Elephas maximus indicus: one gene and its partners. The protein of the gene in region 3 interacts with the protein of the main gene of each other region in a biochemical or structural test. Links are inferred from orthologs where the notes say so. Each region holds a gene or a part of one and is shown on either strand. Other genes may lie near its edges.

Evidence for each region.
Region 1: the proteins of BIRC2 (region 3) and RIPK2 form a complex in vitro, tested with the Homo sapiens proteins (4 studies listed by BioGRID, with this or other methods). The link is inferred for Elephas maximus indicus from reciprocal best matches to the Homo sapiens genes BIRC2 and RIPK2.
Region 2: the proteins of BIRC2 (region 3) and CDC42 form a complex in vitro, tested with the Homo sapiens proteins (2 studies listed by BioGRID, with this or other methods). The link is inferred for Elephas maximus indicus from reciprocal best matches to the Homo sapiens genes BIRC2 and CDC42.
Region 4: the proteins of BIRC2 (region 3) and E2F1 form a complex in vitro, tested with the Homo sapiens proteins (2 studies listed by BioGRID, with this or other methods). The link is inferred for Elephas maximus indicus from reciprocal best matches to the Homo sapiens genes BIRC2 and E2F1.

The regions. Positions count from the first base shown.
Region 1 is NC_064833.1:52,120,563-52,127,675, forward strand, and holds the start of RIPK2 (receptor-interacting serine/threonine-protein kinase 2), read right to left. Parts: upstream 3,003-7,113; 5' UTR 2,371-3,002; coding exon 2,198-2,370; intron 1-2,197.
Region 2 is NC_064821.1:62,283,957-62,291,741, reverse strand, and holds the start of CDC42 (cell division control protein 42 homolog), read right to left. Parts: upstream 3,015-7,785; 5' UTR 2,908-3,014; intron 2,265-2,907; exon of another isoform or gene 1,931-2,264; intron 1,914-1,930; exon of another isoform or gene 1,813-1,913; intron 1-1,812. UniProt on the Homo sapiens protein: Plasma membrane-associated small GTPase which cycles between an active GTP-bound and an inactive GDP-bound state. In active state binds to a variety of effector proteins to regulate cellular responses. Involved in epithelial cell polarization processes.
Region 3 is NC_064825.1:18,245,179-18,252,615, reverse strand, and holds the start of BIRC2 (baculoviral IAP repeat-containing protein 2), read left to right. Parts: upstream 1-4,432; 5' UTR 4,433-4,956; intron 4,957-6,176; 5' UTR 6,177-7,437. UniProt on the Homo sapiens protein: Multi-functional protein which regulates not only caspases and apoptosis, but also modulates inflammatory signaling and immunity, mitogenic kinase signaling, and cell proliferation, as well as cell invasion and metastasis.
Region 4 is NC_064843.1:35,860,169-35,867,051, reverse strand, and holds the start of E2F1 (transcription factor E2F1), read right to left. Parts: upstream 3,001-6,883; 5' UTR 2,870-3,000; coding exon 2,609-2,869; intron 1-2,608. UniProt on the Homo sapiens protein: Transcription activator that binds DNA cooperatively with DP proteins through the E2 recognition site, 5'-TTTC[CG]CGC-3' found in the promoter region of a number of genes whose products are involved in cell cycle regulation or in DNA replication.

The DNA of each region.
Region 1 (7,113 bases), on a different chromosome or scaffold from region 3:
GAGTGGATTCTGACTTATAGTGACCCCGTGTGACAGAGCAGAACTGTCTCGTAGAGTTTTCTTGGCTGTAATCTTTATGGACGCACATTGCCAGGTCTTTCTTCTGCAAAGCTGCTAGGTGGGTTTGAAACAACCACCTCTCAGTTAGTAGTCAAGCCCTTAACCACCGCACTACCAAGGTTCTTTATGGCTTCTTAGAAGACAATTAATTTTCTACCTAACTTGGTAAAAATTTTTGGACTACGAAAATTGTATGAGCATGGAAAGGGAGCTCTTTCTTAACTCCTTGGCCCCTCAAACAGCACAAAATTTCAGGTAAACTAAAATCTTGAGAAGCAGCATCCGAAACAGAAGAAGGATCAATTTGCTTTAAAATATTTAATGGGTCCATCAGTGCTAGATTTCCATATACCATCTACCTAGTTAGTTCTAGAATATATCCACCCTCTCTGACCAGCCACCACCCTCTAGAGTTGACTACACACACTTGCCCAGCACTTGCCCCACAGAATTCAAGACCTAGTGTAAACAGACACCACACCCTGCACATCACTGGATGTGGACTATAGTATATAAAAAGGTGGGAACAATCTCCAGAAGTGTCTGAAATCTGCTGTGAGATCTAGTCCACCCAACGCTGGTAGTGAGAGACAGCAAAGAAAGCCACAGGCAGGTGGAAGTATGATAACGTTGGCTGGGCTGAAAGTTGAGGAATGTATCCGATACTGGATACTAACAGCCTCTGGCCAGTCAGGCATCGAGCGTGATGTATTCTCACATTAGATAAGATAATGTTGTAATCATGAATGTTAGGTCACTGAGAACTGAATGCAGGCCCTTGTTAAATTCCTTTGGGAAAGATAGAATACCGAACTAGTGACTAGACCACTGACTACTGCATACACACACGTTTACCGTAAGGGTTTACAGTAAGGCTTTTCTCTTCGGAAAGAGAAACTAATGCTAAAACAAAACCACCACCAAATGTCCAAACAAATCCACTGCGATGGAGTTGATTCAGACTCACAGTGGCCCTATGAATTATAATATATATATAACTGCCCCATTGGATTTCCAAGGCTGTAAATCTTCAGGGAAACAGCGTGCCACATCTTTCTCCCACAGAGCTGGTGGTGGGTTCAAATCACTGACCTTTCAGTTATCAGCAAAGTGCTTAACCACTGCATCACCAGGGCTCCTTAAAACCTGAACATCACACTACAATCATGCCAGGATGAACGGCTCTAAACACTTTTTGGCCACTTAACACTCTTTGGATACAGTTTATCGCTCCCACAAAAAAAAATACACACTTTTTTCCTAGAGACAGTCTTCCTCATAATAGTAGGAGGAGAAACTAACTGCAAATTTTGAGGTTGATAAAGTTTCATGAAAACAAGAACCACAAACAAAACAGAAACTACAAGAACCCCAAAACAAGACATCTCAAAACTCTAGAGCAGCGCTGTCCAATTATGCCAGCCCCAAATGTAATTTCAAATTTTCTAAGTCACATTAAAAAAAGTAAAAAACAACAAAAAACTCTAATAAAACAACACACACACAGAAAACCCCAGATGAAATGAATTTTGGTAACATCTTTTATTTAACCAAATATATCCGCATTATTATTTGAAGACGCAATCGATATAAAAATACTGATGAGTTAGTTTAAATTCGTTTCTTTGTACTAAATCTTCGAAATCCGGTGTGTATCTTACACTGACAAAGCACATTTCCGTTCGACTGACCAGTCGCTCAACAGCTGCCTATGGCTAACAACTGCCTACCTATTGGACAGCACAGCCCTAGAGCCCACTTTCAAAAAAACGAGAAAAAAAAAAAAAAGCAAACAAAAACAAACCCACTACATAAAGAACTCAATTTCAATACATCGGGCATTTCGAGATGGGCTGTGATGGCAGGTCTCTGGTATATGGTACCAGCCTAGGAAAGTCAGAGGAGGAACGGCGGGACGCAGAGAGAAGGCAGTGAAGAGGAGATGAGCGGACGATTCCGAGTGTGCACCTCGAGAGGCTGGTTCCTCCCACCCTGCCAGCCCCAAGCTTTGAAGGACTAGCCCAGAAATGACGACGGGGAGGGCCGACCCCAGGCGGTCACTGCCGTTTGAGCTCTACAGTCCGCCTACCCGGGGCGGATATCGTGGGAGGGGGTGCCGCCGAGTTAGGCGCCCTACCTGTCGAGCAGCGGAGTGTGAATGTGCAGATGCTTCACGGCCACCTGAACACGCCAGTCCGAGTGGCGGGCCGACGACACGGTGCCCGAGGCGCCGCGGCTCAGGTAGCGCAGGTCGGCGAGCTTCTGGTAGGGAATGGTGGGCAGGGCGCTGCAGATGGCCTCCCCGTTCATGGTCGCTGGCGGCGCGGGCACTCAGGCCGAAGGCCCGTTCCGGGTGCGCTCTCTGCTCCCGCGGCTCCCCGGCACGCGCGCGCTTGGGTCCGCTCCGGCGCCAGGCGGACGGGAGGTGTTCCTGCTCCCAAATACTAGGTCACAAGGCCGCCCATTCCCAGGCGGCCCACGCCCGCCGCCGTCGGACCCCGCGCTGCCGGCTGCTTTTCCCCGGCCTCAGCACACTTTTCTGGAAAGTGGGGTCAAGTCTTCAGCGCCGCGGCGAGGAGGAGCTTCCTCTCCTAGACTGGGCCCTCCCAGGCGCGCCCCGCCGGCGAACCCCGGCGCCGAGCTCCTCCCTCTCCAAACTTCTCAGGCGACGTCAGCGGGCTAGCAGAGGGGGGCGTCCGCCTGCGTCCTCCGGGGAAGGCGCTCGTCTCAGCCTGCGGCCCCCACTGTCTGTCCGATTCTGGCGGGGCTAGGGCGCGGGGGCGAGGCAGCCAGTGGCACTCCTTTTGTCTTCACCCCTCTCCGAATATGGAAAAGTCTTCCTTTTGGGAAAGTTCCTCAACGCAGCCGGCTGGCGGGTGTGTGATTGGTCAGCGGGAGCCCCCACTCGGGTGGATTCTCTGTCTCGGCCGCGTGCAGTCGGGAGAGTAGCCAAACTCCAGAGGTAGGGGCGTGATCCCGGCTCCCTACTCTGCGCCTGCGCGAGGAGCGCTTCGCGGAGCGCGCCGTGTTCCACGGCAGGCAAACCCGTGGCCGACGAGTAGATTCTGACCCTTAGTGACCCTATAGGACAGGGTAGAGCTGCCCCATAGCAAGGAGCGCCTGGTGGATTCGAACTGCCAGCATTTTGGTTAGCAGCCGTAGCACTTAACCCCTATGCCACTGCGAACCTGGACTCCAGTCTTCCTTCACTTGCAGCCACTTGACGAGTGAGGGAAAGGTGATAAATCTCCTCAGAGCGGAATACCCTCGGCTGTGTTTTGCTCTGGGCACACGCCCGCCTACTAGGAATCTGGTTTTCTTCCTCCTCTTTTCCAATGTCCATAATAATATATCGGGATTGAAAATGAACCTGAGAAAATCCATCTAACTCCAGATAAGAGTGCAAAGATTTCTTTTTTATAGATAAAAGAGGATTGCAAGCAGTGTCTAATGCCAACCGAAAAAGACTGCAAACATCTTTCCATTTTTCCACTTAAAAACAAAGACAAAACCAAAAGTCCCACTTTTCTACTTAAGTGATTATATCGTGAGTGCAAATATTATATACAACTCCAAGTCCATACTAGGAATTTAGTGAATTGTAATGCAGTAAAAAGAAATGCCTGACTTGAATAAAGGACTTCTGCGTACAGAGAACCAGTCCTTCCTGTATTTGTGCACAGCGGGAAATTGTAAAGAAATGTTATGTTTAAAATTTTGATGATTTAAAACAAATTGCTTAGCTTTGAAGATATGATCTGCTGTGCTGTGCTTTATTGTTTGTTGTTGAACTTTTTGCTCCTAAAAGTACTCAGAAAACTTTCTCATTGAGCCATCCATCCATCTCACAAACTAAGAGTTCCAGAAAAAGAGAACAAAAAAATCAGCAGGGAGGGAATGATCACAATAATAATTGAAGAAATTTTGCCAGGACTGAAGGACAAGGGTCTCCATATTGAAATGACTCACCTGGTGTCCACAGTGAACTGAAAAACCTACATTAAAGCACATTCTTAAGAAGATCAAAACATTAAGAATAAAGAGAAGACTCAAAGTTTTTAGAGGAAAGAAACAAGAATAAAGGCATGGGAAGGAGCATGGCTTGGATTTATCAAGAGTAATAATATATTTTTTTAAATAATTATATAGGGTTGCTATGAGTCGGAATCGACTCGATGGCACTGAGTTTTTTTTTTTAAATAATATTGTGAGCTAAAAAAAACAATGGAGTGAAATTTCTTCAAAATTATGAAGGAAATTGGCTTCCAACCTTGAATTTTATAGTCAGCTGAACTATCTAACAAGTATAAGGGTGAAATAAACATTTGCACATATACAGGGGTACAAATATTTGCTTTCCATTAGCCTTGTTTTAGAAAGCTACTAAAGTATGTACCCCAACAAAACATGGGTGTAAGCCAGAAAAGAAAAAAACAAAACATGGGTTCCAGAAAACCAGGATCAGGAGAATGGAGAAGTGAAACCCCAGGGCATGTGTCAGAGTGGGGAGAAACCCATTTTCAATGGGACAGGAGGATGGAAGGCTTCAAGAGGAAAGGCTTTAGAAAAATATTTAAATTTATAGATGATCTAATTTTGAGTATTTGGGAGACTGTATTAATAGGTGTTTGATAGATCTAATGAAATATGTCTGAAAAACTGGACATAGAACTGAAAAAAATAAGGCAATTACTATTCTATGAAAAATAAAAATTATACAAGTAAGGAAACAACACTTCTTTAAACAGTTCTGTGGTGGTGAACAGGTGAAAATTGTAGGGCTAAAGTTGAACATATGTAGCCCCTATGAACCAGCAATTCCTCTCATAGATATGTGGGCCTATGTATGTATATGCTAGAATGTCTATAACAGTGTGACTTATGATAGCCTCAAATTATATATAGCCCATTAACAGAAGAAATGGATAAATTGTGCTTCATTTACACAATAGAACACTAAAGTCAATGAGATTGAACAATCTACAATAATATTGTATGAAAAAAGGCAGACACAGAAGAGAACGTACTGATAAGTCCATTAACATAAAGTGTAAAATAAATTAATCTATGCTGTGAGAAATTAAGACAGTGGTTACTCTTGTGGGGGGATGTAGTGAGTAGAAGGGGACATGATAAGGCTTCTGGGGTGCTAGTAATATTCTGTTTCTTGATGTAGAACCTAGATTTTAGGTGCCAGTTACATGAGTGTGTTCAGTTTATGAAAATTCTTTGAGGTTAGATTTATGTACACTTTGCTCAATGTATATTATACTTCAATAAAAAGTTAAAAGGTTTAAATATAAAATAAATATATATTGTTGTTGTTAGGGGCCATCGAGTTGGTTCCGACTCATAGCAACCCTATGCACAACAGAACGAAACACTGCGGGGTCCTGAGCCATCCTTAAAATCGTTGTTATGCTTCAGCTCATTGTTGCAGCCACTGTGTCAGTCCACCTCACTGAGGGTCTTCCTCTTTTCCGCTGACCCTGAATTCTGCCAAGCATGATGTCCTTCTCCGGGGACTGATCCCTCCTGACGACATGTCCAAAGTTATGTAAGACACAGTTTCGCCATCCTTGCCTCTAAGGAACATTCTGGCTGTACTTCTTCTTTTGGCAGTCCATGGTATATTCAATATTCTTCGCCAACACCACAATTCAAAGGCGTTGGTCAGTTCTTCTTCGGTCGTCCTTATTCATGTCCAGCTTTCACATGCATATGGTGCTATTGAAAATACCATAGCTTGGGTCAGGTGCACCTTAGTCTTCAAGGTGACATCTTTGCTCTTCAACATTTTGAAGAGGTCCTTTGCAGCAGATTAGCCCAACGCACTGTGTCTTTTGATACTTGACTGCTGCTTCCATGGCTGTTGATTGTGGATCCAAGTAAAGTGAAATCCTTGACAAATTCAGTCTTTTCTCCGTTTATCGTGATGTTGCTCATTGGTCCAGTTGTGAAGATTTTTGTTTTCTTTATGTTGAGGCGCAATCCATACTGAAGGCTGTGGTTTTTGATCTTCATTAGTAAGTGCTTCAAATTCTCTTCACTTTCAGCAAGCAAGGCTGTGTCATCTGCATAACGCAGGTTGTTTATGAATCTTCCTCCAATTCTGATGCCCCGTTCTTCATATAGTCCAGCTTCTCAGATTATTTGCTCAGCATACAGATTGAATAGGCATGGTGAAAGAATACACCCTGACGAACACCTTTCCTGACTTTAAACCAATCAGTATCACCTTGTTCTGTCTGAACAAATGCCTCTTGATTTATGTAAAGGTTCCTCATGAGCACGATTAAGTGTTCTGGATTTCCCATTCTTCTCAATGTTAGCCATAGTTTTTTATGATCCACACAGTTCAATGCCTTTGCATAGTCAAAAAAACACAGGTAAACATCCTTCTGGTATTCTCTGCTTTCAGCCAGGATCCATCTGATATCAGCAATGATATCCCTGGTTCCACATCCTCTTCTGAAACCGGCCTGAATTTCTGGCAGTTCCCTGTCGATACACTGCTGCAGCTGTTTTTAATGATCTTCAGCAAGCTTTTGCTTGCATGTGATATTAATGATATTGTTCTATAATTTCCACATTCGGTTGGATCACCTTTCTTGGGAATAGGCATAAATATGGATCTCTTCCAGTCAGTTGGCCAGGAAACTGTCTTCCATATTTCTTGGCATAGGTGAGTGAGCACCTCCAGTGCTGCATCTGTTTGTTGAAACATCTCAATTGATATTCCATCAATTCCTGGAGCCTTGTTTTTCGCCAACGCCTTCAGAGCAGCTTGGACTCCTTCCTTCAGTACCATCGGTTCCTGATCATATGCCACCTCTTGAAATGGTTGAATATCGACTAATTCTTTTTGGTATAATGACTCCGTGTATTCCTTCCATCTTCTTTTGATGCTTCCTGCATCGTTTAATATTTTCCCCATGGAATCCTTCACTATAGCAACTGGAGGCTTGAATTTTTTCTTCAGTCCTTTCAGCTTGAGAAATGCCAACCGTGTTCTTCCCTTTTGGTTTTCCACCTCCAGCTCTTTGCACATGT
Region 2 (7,785 bases), on a different chromosome or scaffold from region 3:
GTTAGTAATTTCACTTCAATGAGCCCAAATATGGATACAGCTGATCAAGCACAAAAAGATGCCTTGGGAAACAAAGTACAAGGGCTTATGGAATACGCATAGAGGAAAAATGTCAACCCTTAGACAGCATCAAATTCATCCACCTGACAAATATTTCTTGAGACTTACTTTGTGCCTGGCACTATTCTAGATGCTAGGATATAGGAGTGACCATACCAGGCCAAAGCTCTGCCCTCATAGAGCTTACATGCTAGTGGGAGAGACTGACAACAAACACATTTAGAAAAGAAAACTGAATAAGGAATTATAATAAAAGCCTAGAATGGAGCCCTTTACAAATAGGAGGATATACAGATTCATATATGGGAAATAAGTTAACACACTATTACTCCCTGCTCCCCGAAAAGCCCTGTAGCCTACAGTTCTCATTAGGGGCTCTTCATTGCTCTCAAAAAAGACACTAAAACAATAAACAAATGCATTTAGAAATCTATCCATAAGTACAACTTGACTTTTACTTTCAAGAATGACTATCAATATTACTCATCAGACAGGCACAGCAATTGTAGTTTTCCAAATTTGACAGCTCTTGAATCAAAACATTTTATTAGCATAACCGTTTAACAAGAAATGCTCTTCCAAATAGTCCACAAAAGTGCAAATGGAAAAGCATCCTAAAAAAGAGGAACAAACCTTGAAGTTACAAAAAGACTTCAAGATTTGGTCTTGGTATTCTTTAAGAATCTCACTGATGTTTAAGCCCCGACTACTCAAAGCTGTGTATTTACCTTTAAATTCCAAAGAAAAAAGTTTCACTGAGCACAAGTGTTGGCTACTACATGAAACCATTTTAAGAGTAGACAGAGGATGTTTAAAGACATTACTGGAAGAGCTTATTTTCAATCCTCAATTATTTTGTTGTCTCAGTCTGAAAATTGTTCATTTAAACTATTCTGCTATATTTTTAAGAAGAAAGATGTGAACTGATACACAGAGACTTCTTAAAAATAGAGGACTCGAGAAATAAGGCAGCAGACCAGTGTTTCATTTTTATACTTCTAAAGCAAGATACCACTTTAACGCAAAGAAAACTATTTCAGAAGATTCATGTGCCATACCTATCTTCAACACCCACACTGGAGAAAGCGCATTTAAATCTACCACTTCTTAAAGTTTGTGTTTCTTAACAAACAATCTGTTCTCTCTACACAAATGAGAAACAATAGAAAAGTACTTGTACCAACATGAACTACCCTTTGTAACAATGCATTCACACAACTGAAATTCATCTGCTTTACAATGCTAACATTTTTCTGTGCTACCGTACTCTGTACAAGGATGGAAAATTTAGACTGTACCTCACATTCTTGGGAACAAAAACAGTGATCCCAAAAGCCTAAAAATATCACTCATTTACTTTTTTTGGTAAAAGCTCAAAACTGTTTTGAATTAAAAAACTAAAGTGCCTAGGAAGCAAAACTGATCCTCTCACTACCACACCCTTGCCACAAAGAGAGCAACTGAGGCAATCTAGGTAGGTACCGTGCATCAAACAAGTATATGGGACAAGTCAATCACTCCCGGAAAGTCATTTGGGGGCCAAAAAAATGCACCCACAAATAAGGTGGCTTCGTTCAAGTACAGTCAGAGGGGAATTTTAAAGTTATATTCTATGCAAATGGCTACAGAAAGTGTTGTCTTACGCTTTATTTTCTGTCACAACCTAATTTTGACATTTAAACCTTCCTTTAGATGCAACTGAGGTGGCCAAGAACAAGAGTAACAGGATATCAAAAAAAAAAAAAAAACCACCTCCGAATATGACGCGCTGGGGAGCGGAGCAAGGGAAGTCTCTGGGTGACCCACTGAAACTGCAAAAACGCTGTCTTACTCTGCTGAGTCCCTGACTTGGAGGAGTTAAAACTCTCACCCCTTAGACTGCGATGACGTAATCTTCCACACTGCATTTCTCTAGGATTTAAAGGGGAGGAAAAAAACAAACGAACAAAGAAAATTTCCCCTTAGTAAGAGGAATTAAGCCGACGGCCGAGCGACAGTTTCGGGAGGGGTTAGGTAACTCCCTGAAGGGGAAGCCGCAGCTGAATGAGCCAGGAGAGCGTTAGGTGCTGGAGGAGCAAACGGCAACGCTGTGGGCAACTCTACCTAGGGCAGGAAAAAGGACCCCGGCCAGAGGGCGACCGGACCCACCCTGCCCCGAGAAGCCGGCGAGCTGGGCGGCCGCGGCGGGAAGGGCGTCGCAGGCCCGGCCGGGCCACTCCGCAAACTGCCCCCTCCCCGCCCGCCACTTCCCCGCCGCGGTCGCGAGGCCGCTCCCCTCCCCCCGCCCGCCGCAAAATGTCCGCGGCGGCGCCCGGCGAAGCAGGAAGTCGAAGCCGAGCGCAGTGGGCAGCACCCAGCCTTCGAGCCCCGGCCACCGACACGTCCTCCGCCTCCAGCGCCCGCGCGCGGCTCCGTGAAGCGGGGCCCCAGGCGCCCCAGCCCGGCCGCCCGCCCTTGGGTGCCCACGGGGCCCGGCCGGAGGGGGAGGGGGACCCGGGCGGCCGGGATGGGTGTGACCCCTTCCTTCCGCCGCTGCCCGGTGACAGCCCGGCCCCGCCCGTGCCCTCGGGCCGACACCCGGAGCACCGGCCCCGCGCCTCGCAGCGGGCGCGCACCCTGCCTTCCCCGCCGCGACTCCCGCCCCTTAGTGCCCCTACAGAACGCGGACCCGCGCTCGCCCGGAGGGCGCAGCGCGAGCCGGGCACCCTCCCGCGTTCCGCGCTCCCAGCCGTCCCAGAATCCCGGAGACCACGGGTCCCCGAGAATGGGGAAAGACTGGGGGCGACGCGGTAGGGACAAGACGATGGGGGAGTCGCTCCCTCGGGGAGCCTGAGGCCCCGCACTCACCTCAGCTTCTCCGCCGGGGCGTTGGCAGCACTGCGCGGGGTCTCCTCGACTGCCGGACAGGGGCACGCACCTGACGTCACCACGCAGGAGACGCACGGCTGGGTGCCCGCGGAAGTGGGAGGGATGGAGAGGGGAGGAAGAGGCTGGGACGGCTCGAGGCGGAGCCTAAATTCCTCCTCCGCCTCCGCTGCGCTGGACCAACGCGCACGCGCAAGACCGGAATGGCTCACGTGTTTAGTATTCAACTCGGCACCTCTTTCCCCAGTGCTTGCTGTTCAAAAACTAGAAAGAATAGTTTGCAGAACACACCAATGACATTTCTTTTGATCCTTGCTACCCTGGGAAGCAAAGTATTATCGTTCCTATTTTGCAGAGAGGACAGAGGCTTCTCAGAGACTGGCAGTGATTTACCCGAGATCACACAGCAAGTGGGTGGCCTCCTGGCTCCCCAGGTCTGTATTCAGTCCGCTGTGGTGTGAGAGCTGCGTGCACCCCACTGTCCCTCGCTTCAGCCACAAAGGTCTTCTTTTGTTTCAGAGACTTCCTCCCCACCGTAGGGCTTTGCACTTGTTGGTTGACTTTCTCAGCCCTCTAACGTCCCGGTCTTCCCTATCATCCTACCCTCACCAAAACCAAAACCAAACCCAGCGCTGTCGAGTCGATTCCAACTCATAGCGACCCTATAGGACAGAGTAGAACTGCCCCATAGAGTTTCCAAAGAGCAGCCTGGTGGAATCGAACTGCTGATCCTTTGATTAGCAGCAGTAGCACTTAACCACTACGCCACCAGGGTTTCTCCTACCCTCAAAAAAAAAAAAAAAACCCTCAGAGCACCTGTTTATTATGTTGCCGCCGCTAGCTTTCAGGCTCCGGGAGAATAGGAACCTTCTCTGTCTTATTCTCACATGTTTCCCAATGTTCAGAGAAAAATAGTTTATCCTAGTAATAGTTAATATGTTGCTTACTGCCACAGCTATTTCGCCAACAAAGATAAAATTCCAATATATTTCATTTAATCATCATATTTTCTCTTGGACTTTTTAATTCCACAAAAAATAACCACATTTTTCAGTGTATACTATAAGCGTGGTGCTAACAACTTTGCATGTAGGAGTAAACAATTTCTAAGAATCACCCTGTGAAGTAAGCACTATTGTCGCCATTTTATGGATGAGTGAACTGAAACTCAGCGATGTTAAGAAACTTGCCAAAGGTCACCCAGCCAGGCAGTGGCAGAGGAGGGGCTTGGACCTAGGCTCTTGGACCCAGGAGCCTGGCTCTAGTTTGACCACTACACTATCTTACAACCCAGTAGGTTTATTATACAGAAATCAGAAGATAAACTTCAGGTCTAATCCTACCCTCATGGATACCAGCTATTAACATTTTGGTGAGTACCTTTCCAGACTTTTTTCTATGTATATGTATGTTTAAGGAACCCTGGTGGAACAATGGTTAAGCACTCAGCTGCTAACCAAAAGGTCAGTGGTTAGAAACCACCAGCCACTCTGCTGGAGAAAGATGTGGCAGCCTGCTCCTATAAAGATTACATCCTTGGAAACCCTATGGGGCAGTTCTACTCAGTCCTATACGGTCGCAATGAGTTGGAATCAACTCAAGAGCTATTGGTTTGGTTTGGTTTATATATACATTTATTTTTACCAAAATAAGATCGTGACCCGCTTTTCTCTCTCAAAACATTATGAACATCTTTCCATGTCAAATAAAGCAACATTTTTGCTAACCAAGAGGTCGACAGTTCAAATCTACCAGCCGCTCCTTGGAAACCCTATGGAGCAATTCTATTCTGTCCTGTAGGGTCCTGTGATTTGGAATCGACTCAACGGCAGTGAGTTTGGGTTTTTGTTTTTTGGTTTTTTTTTTTGGTGTTCTACTATATGGGTATTATAGAATTTATCCAATCTCCTATTGTTCAAGACTTAGGCTGCTTTTGGCTATTTTATTTTTTTTGAAAACTTGTAAATTTTTGACTACTGTAAAAATGCGTAAGCTTAGTTTCTGAAACTTGAAAAGTGGTTGTGTTTTCTCCCTCTGCAAAGCCAGTTTGCAATGACATTTCCTTCATCCCGTCTCACAATCTCATGAATGTCCCCAGACAATGCCTGCCCTTTCCATAGCAGCAATATCTTGATGGGGTGTCACCCAACTGCTCAACTTCTCTTGCCTTCATTCAGAGGACAAGGACTTTGTCTATTATGTTGTCAGATTTTTATCAGGAAGGCCCTCCCAGACCTTTTCACAGCCCCAAATGTCAGTGGCATCACAACTTGACCCCAGTCTACCCCATCCCTTGCTGCTGGCCCAGCCTGCTAGTGTCTCCTCCTCACTGCCCCACTGGCTACAGCTGCTTCATATTAACAGGAGAGGCAGCCCGTGGATATCCAGCCCTCCCTCCCCCACTCTCCGTTTGCCAGCCCACTGTCAATTTCTCCTACTTCTGGTAACAACACTTCACTTCTCCTGAGAAGTCTCTTACCCAATTCTCGATTCCTGTAACTCCAGAGGAGGTGGCTCTACCTCCAGTTGCAGGGATGGACATGTGACCCAGGTTTGGCAAATCAAAGAATTTATAGAGAGTCCTCTTGCCACAGCACTTCAGCAATGGACTTGTGACCTAATGAGAACAAATAAGATTCAATTCTGGGACTTTGATCAGAACCTTCATGTTGAATGAATATATCTGCTGAGGGCAGGATGTAATCGTGGCACGGCTGGCAGCCATCCCACTGCAAGGAGAGAGACTGTCTGAGCATAAGACCAAGACAAAAAGGGAAAAACAGAGCTGATGGATGGAGACAGTGAAACCAAGTCCCAGTGGCATTGTTTGAGTCCCTAGACTCAGCCTTGCTCCAGTTTTCAATCACATGAGCCAATAAATTCTCTCTATTGGTTAAGCCAGGGTGAGTAGGTTTCTGTCGCTTGCAACTACAAGACCCCTGATGACTCGCTTTGCCACCTCTGGCCCCTATGTCTGCCCATGTGTGGTACTTGCCACCACCCTCTATGTAGAAGACTCCCAAGTCTCTACCTCCTCCAACCCCTATTCCCACCCCTATTTCCAAATTTCCAGCTACCTAGAAGTCCTACCAACTCAAAACCCATTGCCATTGAGTTGATTCCAACTCACAGCTACCCTATAGGAAAGGGTAGAGCTGCCCCATAGGGTTTCCAAGGAGCAACTGGTGGATTCAAACTGCTGACCTTTTGGTTAGCAGCCAAGCTCTTTAACCACAGCACCACCAGGGCTCCCTGAGTTCCACTAGCAACAGTGAAATCATCCTTCAGCTCCCACCTGCTCCAGGTTCTGTGGTCCCTATATCTGCTCTTGGCCTCTGTACCCTTCTATATTCAGGATTTCCCAACCTTTGCTGCATCAGAGAAAAGGTGTATAACCCCATGCCCACAAAATTAATATCCAATTTCTAGAGGCTTGCTTTATGATTTTCTGTTTTAATCTTGATCTCAGCTCTGATTAAGTCACTCCCTGCTCAAAAACCGTCAGTGTCTTCCTCCTTGGTCTTCAAAATAAAATTCAAAGTCCTTTAGCCAGGCATTCTGGGTCCCCCATGATCTGGCACCAACTTATCTTTCCAACCTTATTCCCCTTTCCTTTCCATCACACACTTAAAGCTGCAGCTAGACTGAATTACTTTAGGATTATGCATATAGGTACCGTGATTTCTCACCTCTGTGACCATGCTCACACTGTTCCCCTAGCCTAGCACACCTCTCCCACTCATACATCCTATCTCTCAACTCCCACTTGCCTTCCCACTATGAACTGAACCTTCCGCCAACACTGATCTTGCTCTTATCTTAAATGGGCTGTGTCCTTTCACCTCTATGCCTCTGTATATTCGGTGGTTCCATTCTCTGTCTGCCAGACTTCTCTCTTTCAAGGACTAGGGTAGACCTTGGCTCTAAAGCCTTCCCTGACAACCCCAGACAGCCAGTCATTCCAGTAATATCTAAAGTATACCAGTTGCCATTGAGTTGATTCCTACTCATGGTGACCCCATGTGTATCGGCATAGAACTGTGCTCCTTAGGGTTTTCAATAGCTGAGTCTTCTAAAGTAGATCACCGGGACTTTGTTTTCAGGCACCTCTGGGTGGACTTGAACCTCCAGCCTTTCAGTTAGCAGTTGCATCACAGATATTTGTGTTTGTGCTAACTAAACCACTAGGCCATGAATAGGCAAGGATCTTATCTAATTCATTTTTGCATCCCTTTACTTAATATCTTGACACACTGCCAGGCCTCAAAAATGTCTAATATATGAATGAATGTAATGCCACCTCTTCCACAAAGCCGGCTCTGCTTCCTGCTGCCAAAAATGATCTCTGCCTATTCTAAACTCCCATTGCACTTACCTGAGCCTTCTTTAGGTCCTCACCCTATTGGATCAAGTTTGTTGTTATTGCTGGCCGCCATCGAGTTGGCCACTTGACTCAGGGTGACCCCATGCACAACGGAATGAAACGCTGCCCAGCCTTGCACCATTCCCATAATCCGTTGCAGATCAGACCGTTGTGACCCATAGGGTTTTCATGGGCTGATTTTTGGAAGTAGATGGCCAGACCTTTCTTCCTAGTCTGTTTTAGTCTGGAAGCTCTGCTGAAACCTGTTCAGCATCACAGCAGCCTGCAGGTTTCCACTGACAGACAGGTAGTGGCTGCACATGAAGTACATTGACCAGGAATTGAACCCTAATCTCTTGCATGGAAAGTGAGAATTCTGCCCTTCACCACCACTGCCCTCAGCCGGATCATGTTTACCCATGCTTTATCTGCCCTGCTCCCAGGGGCAGGCTCACTACTCTTCAGGTACCTTGAACAAAGTGAGCACTTAAACACTG
Region 3 (7,437 bases):
TCTTGAGCCAATGTCTTGAGATATGAAAGAAGGAAGTGAGCAGAGAGACGTGGGGACCTCATACCACCAAGAAAGTAGTGCCAGGGAAAGAGCATGTCCTTTGCACCAGGGGTCCCTGTGCTAAGAAGCATCTAGTTCAGGGGAAAATTGATGATAAGGACCTTCCTCCAGAGCCAACAGAGAGAGAATGTCTTCTCCTGGAGCTGACGCCCTGAATTTGGACTTCTAGCCTACTAGATTGTGAGAGAATACATTTCCCTTTGTTGTAGCCATGTACTCATGGTATTTCCGTTAACAGCAGCCATAGATAACTAAGACAGTTTGTTTAGTCCACAGAAAAACATTTAGAAACAATACAACATTCACAAACACTCAGATGATGGTCTTTAAATACCGTTTCTCACTAAAAGAACCAAGCCACCTTGGACAAATGGCTAATAATAGATAAAACCCCCAAAAACCAAACCCAGTACCTTCGAGCTGATTCTGACTCATGGTGATCCTATGGGACAGAGTAGAACTGCCCCGTACAGTTTCCAAAGAGCGCCTGGCAGATTCAAACTGCCGACCCTTTGGTTAGCAGCCATAGCACTTAACCACTATGCCACTAATTACAGATATGGGGTAAGAAATGTTCAATATGAGCCTAAAAAGCAATCAAAGACTACTAAGGGCTGTGTCAAAAGGACTCAGGAACCAACCTGAATAAGCTCCCACCGGCCTGAGATAAAACAATCTGAGCATCAATAAGGATAATATCTGCGATGGATAACAACTCACCAGATATGTTTAAATCCCTGTATTTACTATAATAGCTGTTCGCTTTTGGGTTTCTATCCAGCAAACTTTTCTTAATAGTATAAGGTCATGATATGATTTTATTTGCAATTAGAATAACCATTAATTCAGCATTATGTAACTAGTTAACCCTTCTCTTAAAACCAAACCCACTGCCGTCAAGTCGATTCGGACTCATAGCGACCCTATAGGACAGAGGAGAACTGCTCCATTTTTCTTACTACTATGTAATTCATATATCAAATTCCCATATATATATATACATATATTTTTTTTCTGGGCTCTCAATCTTGCTCCTTTGTCTATCTGTCCATCCTTGTGCTAATATGGAGCCCTGGTGGCACAGTGGTTAAGAGCTCAGGTATTAACCAAAAGGTTGGCAGTTTGAATCCACCAGCTGCTCCTTGGAAACCTTATGGGGCAGCTCTCCTCTGTCCTACAGGGTTGCTATGAGTTGGAATTGACTCGCGAAAGCAATGGGTTTTGTGCTAATGTCTGAATTACTACGGCTTTACTTTGTAACTCTTGGTATCTGGGAGCACAAATCCCTTGAATCTTATTTTTCTTCTTCAAAATTATCTTGGATTGTGTAAATATTTTAATTTTTCTACATAAATGTGAAATATGTTAAAATGGCAACCTCTTCAATATACAACTTATTTTTTTTTTTCCAAATTGCCAGCAACTATAAACTGGAAATATGAAAAAAAATTAACTGAATAAATGGGTAAACACATGTAACACTAGACTACAAGCTATACAAGATTAGAAGTTATAAAGTACTATCTATTTTTTATTATACCTGCATGACATTTTATACTTATTTGGGGAAAAATATTTAAGGCATTTGAGTTTCTGAGATTCAAGTTTTCCAATACATTGAAGGATATCATCACGTTACTTTTTTGGTCAGGACAAGAACTGAAACAGAAATAAACTTGCATTCAGGATGAATAATTCTTGCTACATATACTTTCTAGATTACATATATTCCCACATGTATTAGGAATGTTTCTGTAATTGAGAAATAGAAATTTCAACTAAATACAAAATTAATACCAAAACGCATGTGTATTTTTGGAAGTTTTGAGTCATTGGGAGCAATGGCATTTTTCTCTGTATCACAAATCGTTAAGAATACTTTTTTTTACTATTAACATTGGAACAGAAGACCTCCTGTTCTGAGACTGACTGGCAGGCAGAAATGACATGGACAGGAAATGGGAAATGGTTCAGGGTCCTGGAATTCCCCTGGCTGCCTAAATCAAGTGGCTTGTTATTTGGAAGTTTTTGAAATATTTGCCCCCTGGAGTTCCCCTGAGAGAAGAAAGCATCTAATTTCATTGACAAAGAGTATCTTCAGAATACATAAAAATTGGTTTCGCTGCAATACAACAAACATTTACTTTGTGCCACTGTGTTTGAGGTACCACTAGAGAGGGGTGAGACAAAAGGTCCCTGCCTAGCAAAACCAAGAATTTTTTAGAAAAAAAATTTTTTTTTTTTTTATGCTTTAGATGAAGGTTTACACAGCAAATTAGTTTCTCGTTGAACAATTAATACACATATTGTTTTGTGATGTTGGTTGCCAACCCTGCGACGTGTCAACGCTCTCCCCTTCTCGACCTCGGGTTCCCCATTTCCATTCACCCAGCTTTCCTATCCCTTCCTGTCTTCTAGGCCTTGCACCTGGGCTAGTGTGTCCATTTAGTCTCAGGTACACGGCTGAGCTACCTGTATTGTTTTATGGGCCTGTCTAGTCTTTGACTGACGGATGAACCCCAGGAGTGACTTCAGTACTGAGTTAAAAGGGTGTCCGGGGGTCATACTCTTGGACTTTCTCCAGTCTTTGCCAGACCAGTAAGTCTGGTCTTTTTTTTTCAAGTTAGAATTTTGTTCTACATTTTTCTCCAGCTTTGTCCAGGATTCCCTATTGTGATCCCTGTCAGAGCAGTTAGTGGTGGTAGCCGGGCACCATCTAGTTGTGTTAGATTCAGGCTGGTCGAAGCTGTGGTAGTTGTGATCCATTAGTCTTTTGGACTAATCTTTCCCTTATGTCTTTGATTTCCGTCATTCTCCCTTGCTCCAGACAGGGTGGGTCCTGTGGTGTGTCTTAGATGGCCACTCACAAGCTTTTAAGACCCTAGATGCTACTTGGTGAGGTCTTTTGATGAGTATAAATGTTAATTTTTAGAAGATCCCAGTTACCTAGCTTATCTTCTGGTATTTGTGAAAACCAAGATTTTTTAATTTACAATTTTATTTCTATCACTTAACTACTGAAATTTGGATAAATGGACTCCTCTGTGGTTCTCATAAGTATATATCATTTGTTAAATATATATATGTTGTTAGTTGCTGTTGAGTTGACTGCAACTCATGACGATCCCATGTGTGTAGAGTAGAACTGCTCTATATGGTTTTCATGGCTGTGACCTTTCAGAAGCAGATTGCCAGGCCTGTCTTCCAAGGCGACTCTGGGTATGTTCAAATCGCCAGCTTTTCAGCTAAGAGTTGAGTCCTTAACTGTTTGCAACACCCAGGGACTCCCCTCATCCCCATATATATATTTATACAAACATATATATATACACATACAAATATACATATATAATATGTATATACAGACAGAAACACAGACAGACGTACCATGGGTAGCACAAATTACTAACCAAAACTACCCCATTGTGGTAGAGTGGATTCTGACTCATAGCAACACTATAGGACAGAACAGAACTGCCCTATAGAGTTTCCAAAGCTGTAATCTTCACGGAAGCAGACGGCCCCATCTTTCTCCCACTGAGTGGGTTCAAACCGCTGACCTTTCTGTTAGCAGCCCAGCGCTTAACCTCTGTGGCACCAGGGCTCCTTGAAAACCCTATGGAGTGCAGTTCTACTCTGCACACATGGGGTTGCCCTGAGTTGGAATGGCAACTGGTTTGGTTTTATATAAGATATAATACACATATCCTGTTGCAGAGTGGCATAGATTCCAACTCAGGGCAACTAGATGTGTTCCAGAGTAGAGCCGCTCCATATGGTTTTCTTGGCTGTAATCTTTATAGAAGCTGATCACCAGGCCTCTCTTCTGCTGCACTGCTGGGTGGGTTCCAGAAGCTAACCTTTATGTTAGTAATCAAGCGCAGTTTATGCCACCCAGGGACTAAACACACACACACACACACACTCTATTTTATTTAAAATTCCAGAAACTATTGCAAGTGAAGACTGGCCTGAAATAACGGTTCACACTGCTCACAATGAGCCTCTGAAATAGGAACACTTTTTCGTTAGTCCATCTGTCTCCAGAACAAAAGAACCCAAAAGCTTAAAAACAGTCAAAATTTAAAAAGAAGATACACTGGCTGATTAATCACAATTAATCTTCTGATGCTGTACTACTTTCCAATACTTCAAAGTTTCACATTTTTTCAATTTAGGCGGCTAGCTGCTGACTGTTGTAACCCGTAAAGATCAGAGCGCCACGCAGTTTTACTCTGAAGAAAAGCGGTTACAAGTGTTTACTTAACAGAAGCAAAAATGCCACTGGATTGAGTCCATCCCCAAATGCCGTCATCTAGGCCGGCAGAAGGCGTCACACTAGTGGAATTTTGCCAGGGGCGGGATCAGAGCTCAGAGGTGACATGGGGGACGAAGCGCAAAACCACTAACACAAGGGCGTTTCCGCAGGGTTTCCCAAGATTCAAACGCAACGGCTCTAGGTTTGCCACGTCCCGCTCAGTAAAATGTCAGGGACGAAAAGACGGCGAAGCGTTAAAAGAGCGCAAACGTCCAGATTAAAAAGCGAAACACCGAGCTGAAGTGGACGGTGCCGCCTCACCCGTGAGCTGACAGCGCAGCGCCAGGTGGGCGCCCACACCCGGCCTCCCCGCGTCCCTCCCGAACACACGTCCCGTGGTAGCGAACCCGCGCTCCTCCTCTCCGCCCTCGGGCGCCGGTTGACGCGGGCCCCCGGCCAAGCGCGCTGACGTCACCGTGCGTCGGCGTCGGCTCTGCTTCGGCAGGGTCTTCGGAACCAGGACCGGTACCCCACTCGGCTTCAGCCCCTGTCGCGGCGGCCGCTCGGCGGGCGTGAGGAGGCCGCTCGGAGCCGGTCTGCTGCCGCGCTACTTCCGTCTTTGCTGCGCCCGCACTGCGGTGAGTGCGGCTACTTCCCGGCCGGGGCCGCGCGAGAGCGCGCGAGGCGGGTTGGGGCGCTGGAGCTGCGGCGGCCCAGTTCCCGAACGCTGCGGTCGGACGAGGGAGGACAGCGGCTGGGGCCCCTCGACCGAGCGTCCAGGGCCGCAGCGAGCTTTCTGCTGCGCGCCCTCGCCGCGGCTTTCATTTAATTCGGAAACTCCGCTTTCAAGACTTGGAAGTCGAAAGTGATTTTTGAAAATTGGCTTGTTTTCATGCATACTCTAGCCGCCGCCCACTTTCCCGGCCTTTGGACTTTGACCAAAATTTTTCCTCTTAGAGTTTTTGCAAGATTTTAAACTTGGCCCTCGATGTACCTTTAATTTGATATATTTGAAGGGAGGCGACCCTGTGGCGGCGAGATCTCATATTTCACGTAGTTCCAACGGCGCCCTGCCGCTCTCAGTGGCTTGTTGTGTATTGTGAAAATTAACTCCGGGAACTGAATGGGCAAATCTCATAGTTTCAACTTTTCCCTTCCAGTCCCTATCCCACCCTCCGCAACCGCCCACAGCTACGGTTTGCATAAAAAGAGCAAAATTAGCTTGTAGATAAAAATCTAGATATATGAGACCTCGTGTTGTTAAAGCATGCGTGCAAGCGGTCACGTTCCCAAGGCCTGTGTTTCTCAGGCCCTTGTTTTGTTTTGTTTTCGAGTTGCGTTGTGTGGTGGTTGCTTTGGAATTGTGAGGGAATTGTAGCGTTTAAGTTGAAGGGTTTATTGTATTATTACTAGGCACTTTGCCTAGTCCTGGAGCGGCTTGACGTTAAAAAAATAACGTTTGTGTCATAATTACCGCTGTACTGTTGCTCATGAGGAATAGTGAGGTCTTCTTTTCTTACCACTACCCCCTTTTGCCTCAAGCAAACTGCCAGATATTATCCTTAAACTATTAAAAGTTGTCACCAGAAGAGGTGAGGAGACCCAAAGACAAAATGTTTTCCTATATGGAAAGGTCCCTTGTACACTTTTGTAACGTGTAATTAATGTTAATGGGAGTATATTGCTTTTATTTCAATTAAGAGCTTTTGTAATCAGAAAGCTTTGGTGACATTGCTGGAAATAAGATGTATTGTGTAAAGTGTAAATCCTTTTTAGACTTTGTGGGATAAATGGAAGCATCTGTGATTCTCTTTGCCACAAAAATAAAATTTTCTAAAATTTTGTTTTTTCTTTTCAGATTTACAGCCTTGAAGAGTCTACTTTTTTTTTTTTCACCTGCAGTATTAAATCCCACCATGGAAACCCAGAAACTTTATAAAGGGATATAGTTTGAATTCTGTGGAGTTTAATTTTGTGTATGAATTATATATTTAAAATACCAACTGTTCACAGAAAGAAGGCTAGTAGGATTACTGATCCATTATGCATCAGCAGTAATTCTGTTGGTAATGTTAGGCATTTGTGATAACACTAGAAAAGACAAACTGTATTTTTTGATGAATTACTTCATCATTAATTACAAAATGGATGCTATAATCATGTATGGCCCTTAAATGAATGCCAGGCTATTTAATTTTTAAATGCGATGTAAAATGTTTCTCCTGTGGAAATTTTCTGGCTAAGTAGTTAAGTCTATGGAAAAATACATTAGATTGATCAAGTGCACAAAGTGGTGTGCAAAGTTAGTAAGGAGGACAACACAGTAATGATGCTATTTGAAATGGAAACATGTATAGAAAATATTTAACAAAGGTGGAAGAGTTAATAGTTTGTGACCTTTAAGCAAAATTTATTTCGTTTGAAATCATATACGCCCTAACAAGCTTAGGTTCAACACAGCTTGTGGATGTTGACTTCCCCAAAAGTTGTTATTGAAGCTAACAATCTGCTTAAGTTAATACTATGATGAGAAGCTATATGAAATTAGTTTTTAGATAATGTGGCTATATGAAGACTTTAATTAGTTTACTAGAATAAAACAATTTTTTTTTATGCCGTATTAAAGTGCTTATAGGAAAAGACGCCTGATGCATATAATTTTGTAATTTGTCGTTTGTAATCAGAAGCAAATTAAGGGCATAATTTAAGTATTCTATTTTTTTTTTTTTTTATGGTTACTTAGCTTACAATGTTTGGAATATAACCTATCTGAAAAATCAAGGTTTTTTTTAAACATAACTTTCAGAAGTGTATCAACTTCTTTCAGACTGTTAGGTTAGTATTACACTAAATTATGAGCAAATAGCACCTGAGTGACCTAAAAGATTTAATATAGTCCCAAAGAGTACTAAGTGGTATCTTGGTAACCTAGGAGAAGTAGCCATCAGGTAACCTAGGCATGAAGTAGGATGCCTGAGTGTGTACCCAGGTGTAAATCCAGTAAAGAAGGTGTAGTGAATTCTAGATAGTTAGGAGGTTATCATTTGATTCCTTTTTGTGGTGAAAATATAATTTAGTATGAAGAGATGAGAAGTTTCATGTCAAAGCTTTTAGCCATC
Region 4 (6,883 bases), on a different chromosome or scaffold from region 3:
TCAGACATGGGCAAGCACAAACATCGTCATAGCATCATATATTTATATAATCCTTTGTGAATTAAAAAACTACCAAACTGTTTTCCTCTGGTTCAGTTTCGACTATTATACACCACTGCATCGCCACTTCTGCATGGGTGACTGAGGGATGTTGGCCTTATCTGTACAGTGTGAATGATATGACGCTTGAGCGAGGAAACAAAGGGAAAAAAGTGAAATTTTAAAGTTTTAGGAAACAAAAGCTCTCATAACTACATAAAAAGCAAGAACAGGCTTAAGGAGAAAAAAAAAAATTACTTTTAGTGAATAGGAGTGGGATCCTGCCCCCTTCAACTTTCTATTCTCCTATGTTTTCTACAATAAGCATATATTTGTAATGGAAAAAAAAAAAAAAGGCACAACAGGGTGGGGGTGGATAAGAAGGGCCGGGGGAATGGCTGAATTGTGCAGAGCCTTGTATGCAGTTGGTACTCAATAAATGCTCACTGGCGCAAAAGCTGAGCCTGTAGCTTGATTCAGGGACTGCCCCAAACAAATGTGCAAAGGGTAGGTGGGAACCTGTGCCCAGGGCTACCCACAGGTGTAAGAGTTGGGGATGTTGGAGGGCAACAGCTGGGCCTGTTTGCAGATTTGGCTCCGGGATGGTGCCAGCCCCGCCCCAGCACAAAAATGCCCACTGGGCCATAAGCACTGTGGGGCAGGGACTCTTTACCTGCTTCTGTGCCTAGCATCTCACGGATGCTCACTAACTCACCAGCTGTTGAATGAATGGAATGCTCAGGGCCCCTGAGGCTGCCCCTGATGGTTGTGGCAGGGTGCTTGTGCCTATGTGTGTATGTGTGTGTCATTTTTCCTCCTCCCAGTCCCTAACAGTTCCTCTGGGCCTGGAGCCCTCAGCCTCTGCTGTCTCTGTACCCCTGCACCTGCTAAGTGCTCGTCAGTCAGCTAAATGGAGACCACTTGCCCAAGCCTCAAGCTGGTACTCTGACAGACACGTCATTTCATTGGAGGGTAGGAGGCAAGCAAGGCTGATCCACCCCAGCCCACACGCACCCCTCCCACTCATTCACAGGCCCATAGGTCCCTATTACTTCCCCAGGCTTCATTCAACCTCTATTAGCATTTCCAAGGCATCCCAGCTTGAACTGCTGGGCTCATCATCCCACCACTCACTAGCTGATCCTGTCTGGGGAAGGCTGTCACATCTCTGTGCCTCAATTTCCCCATCTGTAAAAGGGGAAGGTTGTTGAGAGGGTTAAATGGATTAATTTGGGTAAAGGGCTTGGCACAGAGCCCTGCACACAAAACATTCTCAAAACAATGGTGGCTGCTATTGTTATTATTATTAGCATCTTGGTGATTCCGGAAGGAAGGCAGCACTGGGCATGGGGCCAAGGGGGCTGGGGGAGGCTTTTCCCGGGATGCCTCAGGGACCAGCTGCCACCCACGCCCCTAATGGCAGTTGGGCAGCTTCCACCTCCTTGTCCCAGACCCTGTCTCACCCCTCCTGCTTGCTCTGAGCCCCTCGCCAGACCCCAGCCTTCCTGGCCAGCCCCCGTCTGCCTGCACCCCACCTTCACCCACAGGCTGCGCCAGTCAAACTGGTCTACACGCCCTGCCCTGCAGCACATAGGTTCAAGCTCCAGGCCTCCACTCCCTTCTCCCACTGTAATTCAGACACCCTCTCTGGGCCCCCAGTCTGAACTGATCCTTCCACCTCTTGTTGCTCAGAGAGGCCTTTATCAGATTATCTCCCTGAGAGGTTTTCTCTCCCCTGGCACTGGGGGTCTCCCCCCAGCTCCCAGAGGCCCAGCCCACTCAGTTCTTCCACAGGGGCCTGCCTGATTAATGAGGTTCTATGGCAACCAGGGCCTGAGAGGGTGGAGGGTGGCAGATGGAAGGACAGGCAGAGGGAGGGGATCAGCAGCTGGCCTAGGCGTCTTGCCCCACCCCTGCAGAGAAGGCCTCCCAGCCAGGCGGCCTGTCCCCAGGGGCCTGGAGGGCCAGGCCTGCACCTGGCAGTGGAGCATGGAGGCAGGAAGGATGGTGTCCTCAATGGCGTCCCAACAGTCCAGCCCCAAGGACCACCTCCACCTCCATCCCCACCCCTACATAGCCACAGATTCTGGTCTGGAGCCAGCAGGCCTCGGTTCAAACTCCAGCCCCACCTATGACCAGAGGCAAGTCCCTTCCCCTCTCTGGGCCTCAGTTCCTTCTCCGTCAGATGGACACAGTGACAACACCGAGCTCACACCGTGGTTGTGAGTTTTGGCTGGCTTGAAGTCGGTCAAGGGCTCAGCCAAAGCGCTAGTTGAAACCACGTGGGCCATTATTATCACTGATTCTGACCCGGTGGCTGACCCGAGCGGCTATGGTGAGGAAGCGGAGGCCCAGAGCCTAAAGCAGCATACAAGGACTGGCCCGAGGTCACCCAGCAGCCCGGGGCGGGGCCCGGAGGCCCAACCCAGGCTCTGCACCGCCCAGCGCGGGCGCCTCAGTCCACCCCTCCCCCGGCCCCCGCTGCCTCCTGGCCAAACACTGCGCCCCGCCCGGGTCTGCGCGGGGGGTACAGGCAGGGCGCTTGGCCGGGTGTCCCTGGGGTCCGTACCGGCGGGCGGCCGAGCGAGGGGCGCGGGGCGCTGGGTGTGGGCCGGGGCGCCTGTGGCGTGGCGAAGAGCAGCAGGTCGGCATCGCGGGGGCCGGCGGCGGGAGCGGAGGGGCCGGCGGGGGCCGGCGGGGCGCTGGCGTCCTGCGCCGTGGAGATGATGACGATCTGCGAGGAGTCAAGCAGCCGCAGCGCGCCCGCCCCGAGCAGGGCCTCCAGCGCCGGCGCGCATGGGCCGCCCGCGGGGGCCCCGGCCACGGCCATGGCGTTCACGGCCCGCGCGGCCCGGGTGGCAGGCGGCGGCGGCGGCGCGGACCCATGGCGGCGGGCCGCGGCGAGGGCTCGATCCCGCTCCGGATCCCGCTCCGCCCCCGGCCGCCGCTGCCTGCAAAGTCCCGGCCACTTTTACGCGCCAAATCCTTTTTGCCGCGAAAGAGCCACGAGCCGCAGAACATCGCCACCATTGGCTACCTGGGCTGTGACGGAGGCGGTGACGGTGGCACCCATTGGCTGCTGTGCGCCGGACCGGCGGTGGGGGGCGGGACGAGGAGGCGGTGCGGTGCGGAACAGCCAATCGCAGTACGGGGCGCGCGCAGGCTTTGTCGGGGCGGTGCCAGGCTTGTTCACACTCCCCGCCCCCAGGCCAGACAGCCCCTGGTCGAGGCGTGGTGGCCCCGCCCCCACCCCGTCCCGACACACCCCATCCTGGTGACCCCACCATAATGAAGACATTTAGGGCAGAGTCTCCATTCTAAAGCCGTCACGTGCTGAACCACATCGTCCGCCTGCAGCCCCCACATGACCTCCAGACCCTCAGCCCAGATTTCCAGAAACTGTCTTCTGTTTTCTGAATCCTCAGGCCTACCTTCTAAGCCCCAGCTACATCTCCTCAACTTGCCCCACCTATGCCATTTACTCTCAAATCCTGCCCCTCCCCTGTCCCTTACCCAGCCAGACGCCCAGCAGAAGGGGGCTGCCAGGAAATGGGAAGGGATGTCTGGCCTAATATAGGTCTGGGGCTTTCCTGGGGCTTCTCCGGTGGCCTCGTCTTAGCTGGACAGCCCTGCAGTAGCCAACTCACAGCTTTTGCTTGGACTCAAAAAACCCAGTGCCGTCGGGTCGATTCCGACCCATAACGACAGGCTCAAACATTCATTTATTCAACAGATGTTTTGAGAGCCTGCTCTGTGTCCATCTTTAGTTCAGACTTTGACTCCGGGAGGAGGGGAACAGAGAGATAACAAGAGTTTACAATACAATATGGAGTTTCCAATACTAAAGTAATTCCACCGGTGTTACCTGCCATTGAATTGGGAAACTGCAGGGTCCTGTGCCAGCCCCATGTTCTATTGGGGATCAGACTGTTGTAATCCATAGGTTTTCATTGGCTGATTTTTGGAAGTAGATTCCTAGGCCTTTCTTCCTAGTCAGCCTTAGTCTGGAAGCTCTGCTGAAAACTGTTCAGTGTCATAGCAATACTCAAGCCTCCACTGACAGGAGGGTGGCTGCACACAAAGTGCATTGGCTGGGAATCCCATGTGGAAGGCAAAACTCCAACTTCTTAGACCTCAGCAAAGGATGGAAGTGGGAGTACTGAACATGAAACTGCGTTTAATCCTGAGACCCTGACCCATCTCCACCAACGGTTTCTCCTTGCTCAGATCAGCAGGTTTGACCAAGACCACCCTCTCCTCTGTGCCAGGTCTTGTGACAGTACTGAGGATAGAGATGTGAAAAACTTGATAATTGCTATGAACTTGCCTGCAGTCTGATGGGGGTCACCCACAAGAGAAAAAGTAGCTAGGAGCCCTGATGGTGCAGTGCTTAAGAGTTTGGCTGCTAACCAAAAGGTCAGCAGTTCGAATCCACCAGGAGCTCCTTGGAAACCCTGTGGGGCAGTTCTACTCTGTCCTGTAGGGTTGCTGTGACTTGGAATTGACTTGACAGCCAGGGTTCTCTTTTTGTTTGTTTTTAGGACACAAACAAGATCCCTCCACTTAGTCTAAAGTATCACTTCCTCCAGGGGGCCCTCCAGAGTTGAAGTTACTCACTTCCTGTATTGCCCTAGGCTGCCTCTGTTCCAGCACTGACCACACCACTCAGCTTCTCCATCTGCCTTCCCTACCACCCTGGGAGCTTCAACAGTGCCCCCTCCCCATAATGGCCTGGCCTAGAGCAGCTGCTGAGCTGAGGAGGGTTATGAAAGAAACAGGCTGATGTTGGAGACTGCCAGAATGCAACAAGTAGGTCCTGGTATTCCAAGAGTGGTCATTAGGCTTCAGAACCAGCTGGGGCTCTTGTTAGCTTTGGGCCCTACTGCAACCCAGCCATTTTAGAATCTCTAGGTGCCCATGAATCTATATTTTTAAACAAGCATCCACTCCCATGCCTTTCCAGGTAATTTTTATGCATGATGACATTGGAGAACAAATTGATGTAACTGTATAACTAAAATGTGTGAGGCGGCCTCAGATTATCCCCCTTTGAGAAATCTTCTGGGCCTCAGTGTCCTCGTCTGTAAAATGAGCACATAGACTTTGCCCCAGCTCTTCTGGGGTTGCTAAGAGAATGAAAAGCACAAAGGATCTGAAAGTGTTTTATAGATTGTGAGGTGCTTTGGGAAAACAGCAGAAGTGTCTTCCCTTCTCTCATGAACAATTTGTGAAATTACTTATCAAAAATCCTAGAATGTGTCAGAGCTGGAAGAGCCCACAGAGGTGGGACAACTGAGGCTTATTCAGGCGCAGGGTCCCATGAAGCCAGCCAGGGATAGAATCTGGCCTACACTGGAGTCCCAGCCCTGGGGTCTGCCTGTTCCCCCTTTCTCCCCGGACAGAGAAGCTGAGGGTTAGGTCTCTTCTAAATAACCATCGCAGGTCCTGACAGGAGTTGAGAGAGCCAGGAACATTCCCGTTCCACATAGTTTCCTTTCCCCACATTTTCCCAAATGATCCCGGTTACAGTAATAATATCTGACTTTTGTAAAGTCCTCTCATACTCAATATTCATTCAACAAACAAACTGACTGAGCACCTGTCAAGTGCCAAGCACCTTGCTGGCTGATGGAAAGGGAAGGCATTGCTGGTTTTGCCCCATTTTACTAGGAGAAAACCAAGGTCCAGAGGGAATAGGCTTACCTAGTAGATGAAAACGCCATTTATACAGGCTTGGTGAGGCCAAGGCCACGTTTTTCCCAAAGGCCTGCCCTCCTCCCAAAGGTCCTGCCCCTGTCCAGGTGTTCATCAACCACCCAGGTAGAAGTAGGTGCCTTCCTTCCCACTGCAGTCTCTCTTGTCCTGCTGCAGCAGCCCAGGGCTGGGAACAAAAGGCCAAGCAAAGGCCAGATTTCTCAGTGTGAAATCAAAGAGATAAGGCTTTCTATATTTATTAACACCCGCTTCAAAGCAGAAAAGTCCTGACAGATGGGGCCCCTTGGCTCAGAGTCTGGTGGATCCCGATAAGGCTGTTCCCAATGTCAGCAGTTCTCCTCAGGCTACTAACCTTCCAAGAAATCCATGATTACTGAGAAGACACTTCCATTATGATCTCCTTTCAACTCAATAATCCCATAAGTGAAGCTTGTTTATCCACATTGTGCAGAAGGAAGGTGGCTCAGAGAGGGGCAATCACAGTTCACAGTCACAGCAGAACTGAGATGGGAACCTAGCCTGTTTTACTGGAAAACCCAACATCTGCCCTTCATACTCTGCTACCCTCTGAAAATACTTGGAGAGCCAGGCTCAGGGCTGGCAAGATTATAATGTGTGCCAGTGAAGAGGCATTACGGTGGACAGTGTCTTTGTTAGGTCCCTGGGTGATGTGAACTGTTTGCACTCGACTACTAACCTAAAAGTTGGTGTTTCGAACCCACTCAGTAGTACTATGGGAGAAAGGCCTGGTGATCTGCTTCTATAAAGACCCTGTGGAGCAGTTCTACTCTGTAACACACGGGGTTGCCATGAGTGAGAATCGCCTTGAAGGCAACATGGTTTGGTGGTTTAGTTAGTGGATGCTTACCCCCATCACTGCGTCTACCAATCCTTCAATCTAGAGGAGTCCAAAGGAGTGGATGCTTTGGACTCATAATTCTCCACCTGGAGACAACTTTCCCTTGGTTCTTTCCTACACACAAGAGGCAGGATGGTATGGAGGTGAATGCAAGGGCTTCTAAATCAGGCGGATGTCAGTGGGAATCTTGGTCTGTGTGACCTTTTGACAAGAGAATTCTGAGCCTTGCTCATTCAACCCACAGATACTTATTGTATACCCACTCTGTGT